2 linked regions of the Tribolium castaneum genome follow. The protein of the gene in region 2 purifies or fractionates together with the protein of the main gene of each other region. This does not show direct contact. Links are inferred from orthologs where the notes say so. Each region holds a gene or a part of one and is shown on either strand. Other genes may lie near its edges.

The links. Proteins that work in one complex are often made in the same cells at the same time.
Region 1: the proteins of proteasome activator complex subunit 4 (region 2) and proteasome subunit alpha type-1 purify together in Homo sapiens (affinity purification with mass spectrometry; 4 studies listed by BioGRID and IntAct, counting the BioPlex papers as one, with this or other methods). This does not show direct contact. The link is inferred for Tribolium castaneum from reciprocal best matches to the Homo sapiens genes PSME4 and PSMA1.

The regions. Positions count from the first base shown.
Region 1 is NC_087394.1:35,801,115-35,805,114, forward strand, and holds proteasome subunit alpha type-1, read right to left. Parts: upstream 2,077-4,000; 5' UTR 1,968-2,076; coding exon 1,134-1,967; 3' UTR 963-1,133; downstream 1-962. Other genes in the region: mRRF1 (ribosome-recycling factor, mitochondrial), read left to right, coding at 1-11, 62-302. UniProt on the Homo sapiens protein: Component of the 20S core proteasome complex involved in the proteolytic degradation of most intracellular proteins. This complex plays numerous essential roles within the cell by associating with different regulatory particles.
Region 2 is NC_087396.1:18,346,305-18,351,477, forward strand, and holds part of proteasome activator complex subunit 4, read right to left. Parts: intron 3,649-5,173; coding exon 3,432-3,648; intron 3,386-3,431; coding exon 2,330-3,385; intron 2,273-2,329; coding exon 1,821-2,272; intron 1,771-1,820; coding exon 1,522-1,770; intron 1,471-1,521; coding exon 1,293-1,470; intron 1,240-1,292; coding exon 988-1,239; intron 940-987; coding exon 434-939; intron 388-433; coding exon 1-387. UniProt on the Homo sapiens protein: Associated component of the proteasome that specifically recognizes acetylated histones and promotes ATP- and ubiquitin-independent degradation of core histones during spermatogenesis and DNA damage response.

The DNA.
Region 1 (4,000 bases), on a different chromosome or scaffold from region 2:
CCCATACCTAAGTATTTTTATTGACAAGCTTTTTTCAACAGTGGTAATAAAACAAATTTAGGGTTACAACAGAACATAGGGAAAATTTGGCAAAAAGCGCTAAAACCATGTTTATTAAATGTCGCGATGGGATCAGAGACGTCCAGAATAAACAAGTCAAGTCTTTGAAGAAAAAAGACAAAGTTTCGGAGGACATGGCCAGAAATTCGGAGCAACAAATCGTCGCTATTGCAGATGCTTACATTGCAGAGGCTGAGAAAATACTGGAAAGTAAGCAGAAAGAATTAGTCGGGAAAAACTAATTATTCTTTCATGGGGTGATTCTGCTTAAAACTAATAGTTGCACCCAATTCAGCGCCCACTGTTTAATACGTAATGACTTTCTCTATGCCTGTGATTTTTTTCAGAATTTTTCTACCCATTTTTCATTTTTGCAACTACTTAAGAGTAGTTAATTAATTTTAATTATAAGAAATTGTAGAAAAATTCTGAAAAAATTCAGCCTTAGAGGGAAATATAGAGTATTTAATAGCAAACGCTGAATTCAGTGCGATAATTAGTTTTTGAGGTTTAGTAAAAAATACACTTGTAATAGACTCACCCTGTCTACATTACAAAATGCTGTGAAAATCTAATAAACGTGTCTTGGAACAGTAACTTCAATATGCAATTGCGAAATTAAAAATTTTTAAAGTCCACTGTCGCCTAAGGTGTTTAATAAATTTTAAAGTGTCAAAGTATTTTAAGTTAAAATATTTTTTAAACAATGTTGGTTATCCGCCTTAAACCGGATAATCAAAAGTAAAAAGTTTGATTTTACTCGGCTAATCAAGGTTCTGCTGTAACATTACATTGAAATTTCTTTAAATATAGCAAGCTATGCGAGATATACGTCAAGGAAATTCTCACAGCACTTTCGCTTTACGTACTTTGTACATTTAGGGTGAAAAAATAAACAACGATTTACAAATTACTTCGTTTATTGATTATTTAATAAAAGAATACAGTTTAGTAATATTTAGTGATCCTGTGCCGTGGCTGCCTCACTTACGACAGCCACGGCACAAAACCAATCCAATTTCTCAGAGGTAAAACACAACTGATTAACGAAAAATGAAAAGGCCCCATTATCCTTATTCCGTATCCATTGCTACAGCTGGAACCGGATCCCTGGGGCCCTGGTCTTGGTCCCCCGCCTCATCTCTGAGAGGCCCTGCTGGGGGCTCTTGAGCCCCACCCCCTCTCCTCTCCTCACCCTGAATCATAGCCAAGTAAGGCCCAGTTTCATCATCGACCAAAATCTTGAAGCTTTGTCCCTTGCCAACGTAACCGATGGAAACGTTTTTAATGGTTAAGTCGACTTCAGGGGGCAAAGTGTCCCTAAGAGCCCTCAAGCCGTGTTTAATCAGCTCTTCAAGAGAACACGAAGACAATTCCTCCAAGTGCTTCTCCAGGTAAGTCCTAGCGCTCTGCGAACGCGCCCCAATTGACATTGCCTTACAGTCGTAGTAATTGGCAGAGGGGCAGGTCTGGTAAATGTGGGCCCCCTGGTCGTCATAACCCGCCACAAGGAGCCCCACGCCGTAGGGCCTGCGGTCGTACCTCTGAGTGCACAACTGCATCTTGTTTCCCAGCTGGCTGATGAGGCGGTTTAGGGGCAAGTGGGTGTCGTGCGAATACTTGTAATTGAGGCATTCAGTCCGCATGTAACGGCTCAGGATTCTGGCGTCGGCTGTGAGGCCTGAGATGGTGATTCCGATGTGGTCGTCGATGTTGATGATTTTCTTCTGGTAGGCTGATAGTTCAGACGAGGCTCTTTTGAGGGCGATGAGAACGGCGTGAGTCTTGCTTTTGAGACCCACGGTGGCGGAGCCCAAATTTACGGCCTCCATGGCGTACTCCACCTGGTGGAGGCGGCCCTGGGGGCTCCAGACGGTCACGTCGCTGTCGTATTGGTTGCGAAACATTTCTAACACTGATTTTTACTGAACTTTACCGGTTTTGTTTTTATAACCATGTAATGCTGCTGTGTCACTTGCGGATATTTTTGACAGAATAAGACATACGTTTTTGACAGTTTCGATAAAAAGGTCTCTGTAAAGAAAGGCTAAGAAAAATATTTTTACGCTAGAAAAGCTGCAGGTTTTGATGAATATCTTAGTTAATTATATTAATTATTATTATACAAATGTAAAAGTTGTAGAACTAAATTTCTTATAAGCATAGGAAACTGTAACATTTTCTACTGATGGTTAGCCAGTCTGCGCTTGATAGAATTCTTTATTTTAAGTTTAAAAATTTACCATAGTTAATTAGTATTAGGGTCATACAAACGCAAGGACATTTTTAAACTTTAGTACCTTTTTGCGTTCTTGTAATCGTGGTACCAATAATTTAAAGATTTGTCTGCAACCAGCTATACACTTGTGTGTATTGTGCATCCAAATTGCCTAGCCTTAGCATTTTTTTGTAGAAACAGTTTAGTAAAAGTTTGTTGTTATTTTAAAGTAAAATGTGTAGGTATTAAGGTCACAGGAACGCAACAAGATTTTTAGAAATTTTAACTTTTTTGATCCAGGTACAAAATCCATTTTAAAACTTTAATGTGTATTAGGATCACAAGAAAACAAAGAGGTTTTTATATTTTTTACCTCTTTGCACTCCTGCGGTCCTGGTCCAAAATCAATTTTGAAATTTTCGAATAATTATTTAAAAGTATACAATTGTAAATGGTCTTAAAAAATTTACAGGTTACTGTAATTCGCTGTTTTACAGGAGCATGCAAAGATGACACATAAAATTTTATAGGTACCTATAAAAATAGTACTCTAATATTCAGTAATTAGATGTCATCACCATGTATAGATAGTCCTGGTGAACCAACTTCCCTTATTTTCCATTGTCGGGCGCAAACCAAAATGTGGAGCAAGTTGGAGCTTTTATTTTATCTGACAGATGGCACCAGCGTAGACTGGGACTGTCACAATGTTTACAAGAAAAAAGATACACGCATCACGTTGTTAAAAATACGACATTTATGAAGAACAATTAATACCTGAAGGATGCCCGTACCGAATGGTAGTGGAGTTTTTTTTCTGGAAAGCATTTATTCTGACTTCAATGTTTCGATGTCTTTCGCGGCCGAAAATGCATCGAACCGAAGTTTAGAACTATTCGGAAAATATTATTATTTCAGCGCGAAAAAAGCAGAAGTTGTTACAAGATGACTAACTTGGGTGCTGAGATAACATTTTTTAATTTCGCATCATTTTTTTATAAAAAACAAAGAAAATTTCTGAAATTGTGACAGTCCCAGTCTACCGTGCTGCCATCTATCAACTTGCTCCAGCGTTAGAATCAATTATAATAGCGAGTTGGTTTACCTGTCTGTCTCTATACCGTGGATGTCATTACCTCTCCTAAGACAGTGACATCTAGGTGTCGAATACATAAATTTAATTTTACAGGAAACTATAAAAAATTATGCCATCTATGTACATATTTTTAAAACAATGGTTTACAGTAACCTGTAAATTTTTATGGAGCATTTTAATTAACAATTTTGGAATAATTTAAAATTAAAATGTATATCAGGTTCATAGGAACGCAAGAAGGTCTTTAAAAGTTTAAAAACTTTTTTGCGTCCTTTGATCCTAATATACATTTCGGTTTTAAATATTTGTTTGTTTTGAATAGGTTTGGTTTTAGGTTGTGTGGCCCTTTTCAAGTAAAATCCGATTCTAATTTCGAGTAGGGGCACATTTTGTCGAACCGTTGGTTGATTCTTTGGTGGTTACTTTTTTTGTTACGGACTGGAATTTTCGCATGGGCTGGTAATTACCATACCAGAGATGAATTTGTTGTGGATTCTGAATGGTTGTATGGTAGTCGTACCTATTGAATGGTACTTTATATGTATTTATACAGTCACTAAAATGGATGGTTACACCGTGATAGATGTGAGTTTAAAATTTCTGGATCGGGCTTATATTTGAATTGT
Region 2 (5,173 bases):
GCGTATATTTCGACTTTCGTAGGCCAAGCGTAATACCCTATGCTGTGATCGTGCAAAAATCGCGGTTTTTCCCACGCTTCTGAATCTTTCGGGACCGTTTTACTGTCGTACAATAACCATTTATTGTCTTCTCTTATTCCGGGCCTCAACTTGTGGTTATTTCTTTTACTGTTGGAGAAACCGTAGGGATCAATTTCAATTTTCGTAAATTTGGGTTTATTCTGAATTAAAATAAACAGAGAGACTCTTAATGCCGTTTTTCTAATGGTTATAGACTCATTTATTAAGGCTTGTAGAAAATACTTCACTATCCTCACGTTGTATTTAACGTCATAGTGTACTAACACCTTTAGGAACGTAACAGCCATTGAGTGATACCTCCAGTGCCTTTAAACGAATTATTATCATATTCACAAACTGGGACAAAACTTACAAATTTCCATTAATACAAGCATCCAAAAGCCCATCAACTGTCTCATTGTACGCAACTGCGCGCTTTTGGCATTTAATTTGTAGCGTTTTCTCGCCCTCGTCCATATATTTTTGGAAGTGGGTCAGGTCGCATTTGGGCACATTTTGACTTAGCAAAGTGGCATCGTCTAGACATCTTTGCGGAAAAACCAAGTTAATGGCAATGGTCGGGAAAAATCGGTTAACAGCGTCGACTATCGCATTTATCAAATTGACAATTGAGGGTTTTTCGGATGGCATCGACTTGATGATAAGTGGCCACAATTGGCGAATAAAATTCCAGTCGTGACGTGCCACTATTGGTGTATTTTTCGGACTTATCAAAATGTATAAACAACCCTTGAACTTCTCATGGTGTTCTTCTGAGTTTAGTTTTAAGATTTCGAATATACGCGATGTGAGAACGGTGTAAGAGTATGGGAAGTATGACACTACAGAAAATAGCTTCGACTGTGCTGAAATTCTCACCTGAAATTTGTAATTAGCATTGGTAGGTGAAAAAAAAAAAAGAAGTACCTCGCTATATCGCGACACACTTAGTTCAAACAGGTCCAAAAGAATCTGTTTGTGGGTTTCTGTGAATGAACAGCTACGACTTTCTATTCTAAATTCTTGCTGCAACATCACTCTGTTGATAAGGATATGTCGCAAGTGCAGTTTATTTTGGTGTAAACGGTCTTCGAGTAGTTTTTTCACCAAGTGGAAGTTCTTCCATTGATACTCGAAATCATGAACACGTGATTTGTTGAAAAGAAGTATATTGTAGATCTGGAAAAATTAATGTGAGTGAGTGGGTGAGTCTTCTATCGTTATTTAATTACATGGACAATGTTGTGGATGCTTTTAGTGTCACCTTCGTCCACTTCTAGGATTTTTTTCTGGACTTTATGCATCAAATCTGCTATCACTTTTCGGATGTTTGAGCCGTCTGGCATATTTACAGCATGAGAATCGCTCACGATTAGATTGAAAGCCCACGGATCTAAAACCGAGTCGACCCTAAAACATTTAAACTTAGTAGTGGCTTAATCGAGTTTTTAGAATTGGTACAGCTGTATCGCAGGTTCGTCCCAGATTGGCAACACTGGATGTGATGACAATATCGAAATTACTATCCTAAGCGACCTTCGCAGCTCTTCTCTCGTCAGGACTGACTCTCCAGAGGCGTGTTTGCTAAGTTTTGAAACTTCGGGTACCAAATACTTATTAATGAGTGACTGAACTAAGGCGATTTCCTTATCTCCAGGGACGTACCACGAGATTTCCAGATCTTTGATATTTTGAGCTTTGCCCCACTCTCTTTAAATTCCAAATCATGTTAAGTAAAAAACACTTAAACGAAGCATCACCTTATCGAGAGAAAGTCCTTAACATGTGTGTCATACGGTGTCGAACAACTTCGGTATTCAGTTGGCAGTATGTAAGTCAGTGAGGTCATCATAACTTCAAGCATGCGTGATGCCATCTGACTACCACTCAACGAACTCATGTGTAAAGTCCTATCAAGGATTTTCATCAACCTGTCGGAATACGTAACAAGTTCGGTCCTGGCATCCACAACTTCTGATAAAATTTGCAAATTGTAAAGCAATTCAGCGTCGAGATGTTCCTCTTTTTCTATGTTTGGGTTTTCGTTCATTAAGCCTTCGATGATATCACACAAGTGTGGAATGAACAGTTTCAGGGTTTCCTTAGGATTGACTTTGGCAAAGCCTTGGCATATAATCGCCGTCATTTTGCCCGAAATTTGTATCTCCATTACTTTGTCACTTACGAAATTGAACACTTTTTTAAGAGCGGCCTAAAAAGTTAACTGTGTTTTCCCGTTTTCACCACCCAATTAAAGCCAATTACTTACTGTGAAAATTTCTGGCGAGCACTGGTGTAAAACTGTTGAAATGATCGAGAAAAGGGCCGTTTCGGCGATCACTTCGGCCCGATTTTTATTATTGTTGCTGTTAGCATCCTGTTCTAGTCTAACAAAGTCTAGGGAATTAGACTCGACCCAAAGACACAGTCTGTCAAAAAATTGCAAAACGAAATCTTCGAAACCATCGCTGGCTTCGCAAACTATGTGTTCTTCTTCCGTCAAGTCATCGTGATATTTACTCGCTTCGGAACAATTGATCAACGGAATCATGTTAATAAAATGAACCATGAAGTTGAAAGTCACTAAACACTTTCGGATATCGTTCGGGTCAATCCCTGGGAGTAAGGCCATTAGGAGTGGAAGCACATGGGTGAATCCTTCTGGGTAGTTGCTGCGCGCCCCTTGTACCATGTACCTTGCCACTGCCGTCACGCCCATCATGGACGACGTCAGTTTGTGCGGCTCTGTGAGACTATCCATTGAAGCATACAATTTATCCAAAGTCATTGGAATGACCAGGTTTGGTCTTAGGGACCCCAGATATTGCAAGGCTAGGATGATATCTTGCCCCCCTTGTCTCGAAAACATTGCCTGCTCAAGACACGGCTTCATAATATTGACGAATCTATCAATATCCTCGTCGGTCAATTTATAATGATCTGGAATGTTCGTATCCCACGTTTTTTTCTTGTATCGTTCACAATGCACCCTTTGCACGAAATAATAGGCAAGTTTTCGCAACAATTCCCTCAACTTCATCGACCATCGGCCCATATTTGCCGGATAGTAGTAGGATTCCAGCGCTTGCATGAACTTTTCCAAATGAAAGAAAGTCGAATTTTTATCACCGTTCAAAGCGCATGTTATCCAAATCGCCATTGCGGAAATTTCGATTTTGTATTGTTTGCCGGTTTGTTTCTGTCTATAAGCTACAGGTAACTGAAAACTGCGCGAAAATCGCACAAACATCATGGGAATGTAGGGCTCCCAATTGATATACCCCATGGTGTAGCTGGATAGTCGCGCAATCATCCACATCATGTGCTAAAATTAATTGTAGTTTTGGGACTGAAACAATGAAATCGCTCACATCTTCCCAAGCACTTGCGTTATGACAAGCGTTCCACAGCGTCATAAGTTCTTCAAACCATAAATCGTAACTAATGGCAGCTTCCTCGGGTTTGACGCAAACAGGTAAGAAAATTTCAAGGTATTGGATGGCTGAGAGGATTGTGGGGCTGCTCATTGGACATAAGCGAGGCCTGAACTCGTCTAAAATTTCCTGAGTGGCTGATGCAGGGAAGTAGCTACAAGGGGGTGCCACAAATAAGTATAAAGTGGACAAAATGGTAAACACTCTTGACTATTCATAACTTTTCTGCTGTGTGATCTATACTTCGGGGTAAATGCGAAACGAAATTTACATACTAATTTACTGTGGAGGGGTGGTTGAGGTTGAGTTTTTCACATGAGGTGAAAAAGAAAATAATAAAGACAGAAAAGCTACTCATTTGAGCGGCAGAATTTTTTTAACTGGTTTTAGTACGCTTACTTCTTAAAACCAGTAAAATAAAAAATAGCTGCATTTAAACAACGACAAGCCCAACATATACAGCATTAAATTCTCTATAGTGAAAGATAAAGGTAATGGGGAAAATTATAGTAAACTTTATTAAAAAAAAATCAATTTTTTCCTAATTTATTTGTTCCATATTTTCCAAAATAATACGAATATCCATCGAATAGTGGCGAATTGAATTTTCTTCAAAAAAGTCCGTTAGGCCTATTTTTGTCTTCAGTGGATTAGGTTTAATTTGTTTTTAAGTGTCCCCCACTCAACGTCTTTGGACTCTTTTAAAATGTTTGAGACAAAGTCATGGTTTTTCGCGTAGGACACTTTACATTTTTCGTGTATATTTAACCGTATTCATATAGTGTTTTGAAAAATATGGAACGGTGCATAAATTTTAAATTTGTAGTACTATGACCTAACTGCACCGATTCGGCTTATGGTAACGCTTATTGACAAAGCTTGACTTACAGACATACAAGGTGTTTTATAAAACTTTACAAGGCCTGCGCCTCGTGTGCGCACCAAAAAAGTCACAAAACACTAGGATAAAAAAATAAACATTTAATTATTTAATTTTTGGAAAACCATGATAGTAGTTGTCAAACTAATGTCTGTTTCTTTCTTTGGCATGTGTTCTATCAAGAGACTTTCATTAGAACATGATTTTAATTGATTTATTTTAATCCCTAACTAACTAAAAATTGCTAAAAACGTATTTTTTGAAGAAGTGAACAAACAAGACATGACTATTCAATTTTTCAAAATTTAATCGGGTTCGTATCGGAATATGTATTGTTGGTGGCATTTTACTTGCGTAAATTTATATGAAAAACACTGTAAAAGTGGAATTTAAATAATTCGCGCTGCACCGTGAGGTTTTATCTGGTGTTGTTAGTTAATTCAATCCGTCAAATGCCTATCATTTAGTTGTCAACAGTTTACAAATGCGTGAAAATGTTGCGGATTTTTTTTTATTTCTGATATCAACAATAAAATAATCCAACGAAATTAAAATTAGTGAGAAAATTGCTCAAGTTTTTATTTTTAAATCGATTTTATTAAAAAAAAAGTTTTGTTGCAGGAATGACTGAAGCCAGAAAAAGAGCTATTAGCTGTTTCAAAACTATAAAAACGCCAATGTGGCAATTTACCAAATTATTTTTTTAAATAAGATTGATAAAATTGTAAAATAGTTAATATTGATTCGATCTCTCATTGAAAGTATAAATTAAATTAGCTTTTATTTTTTTTTTAAGTGA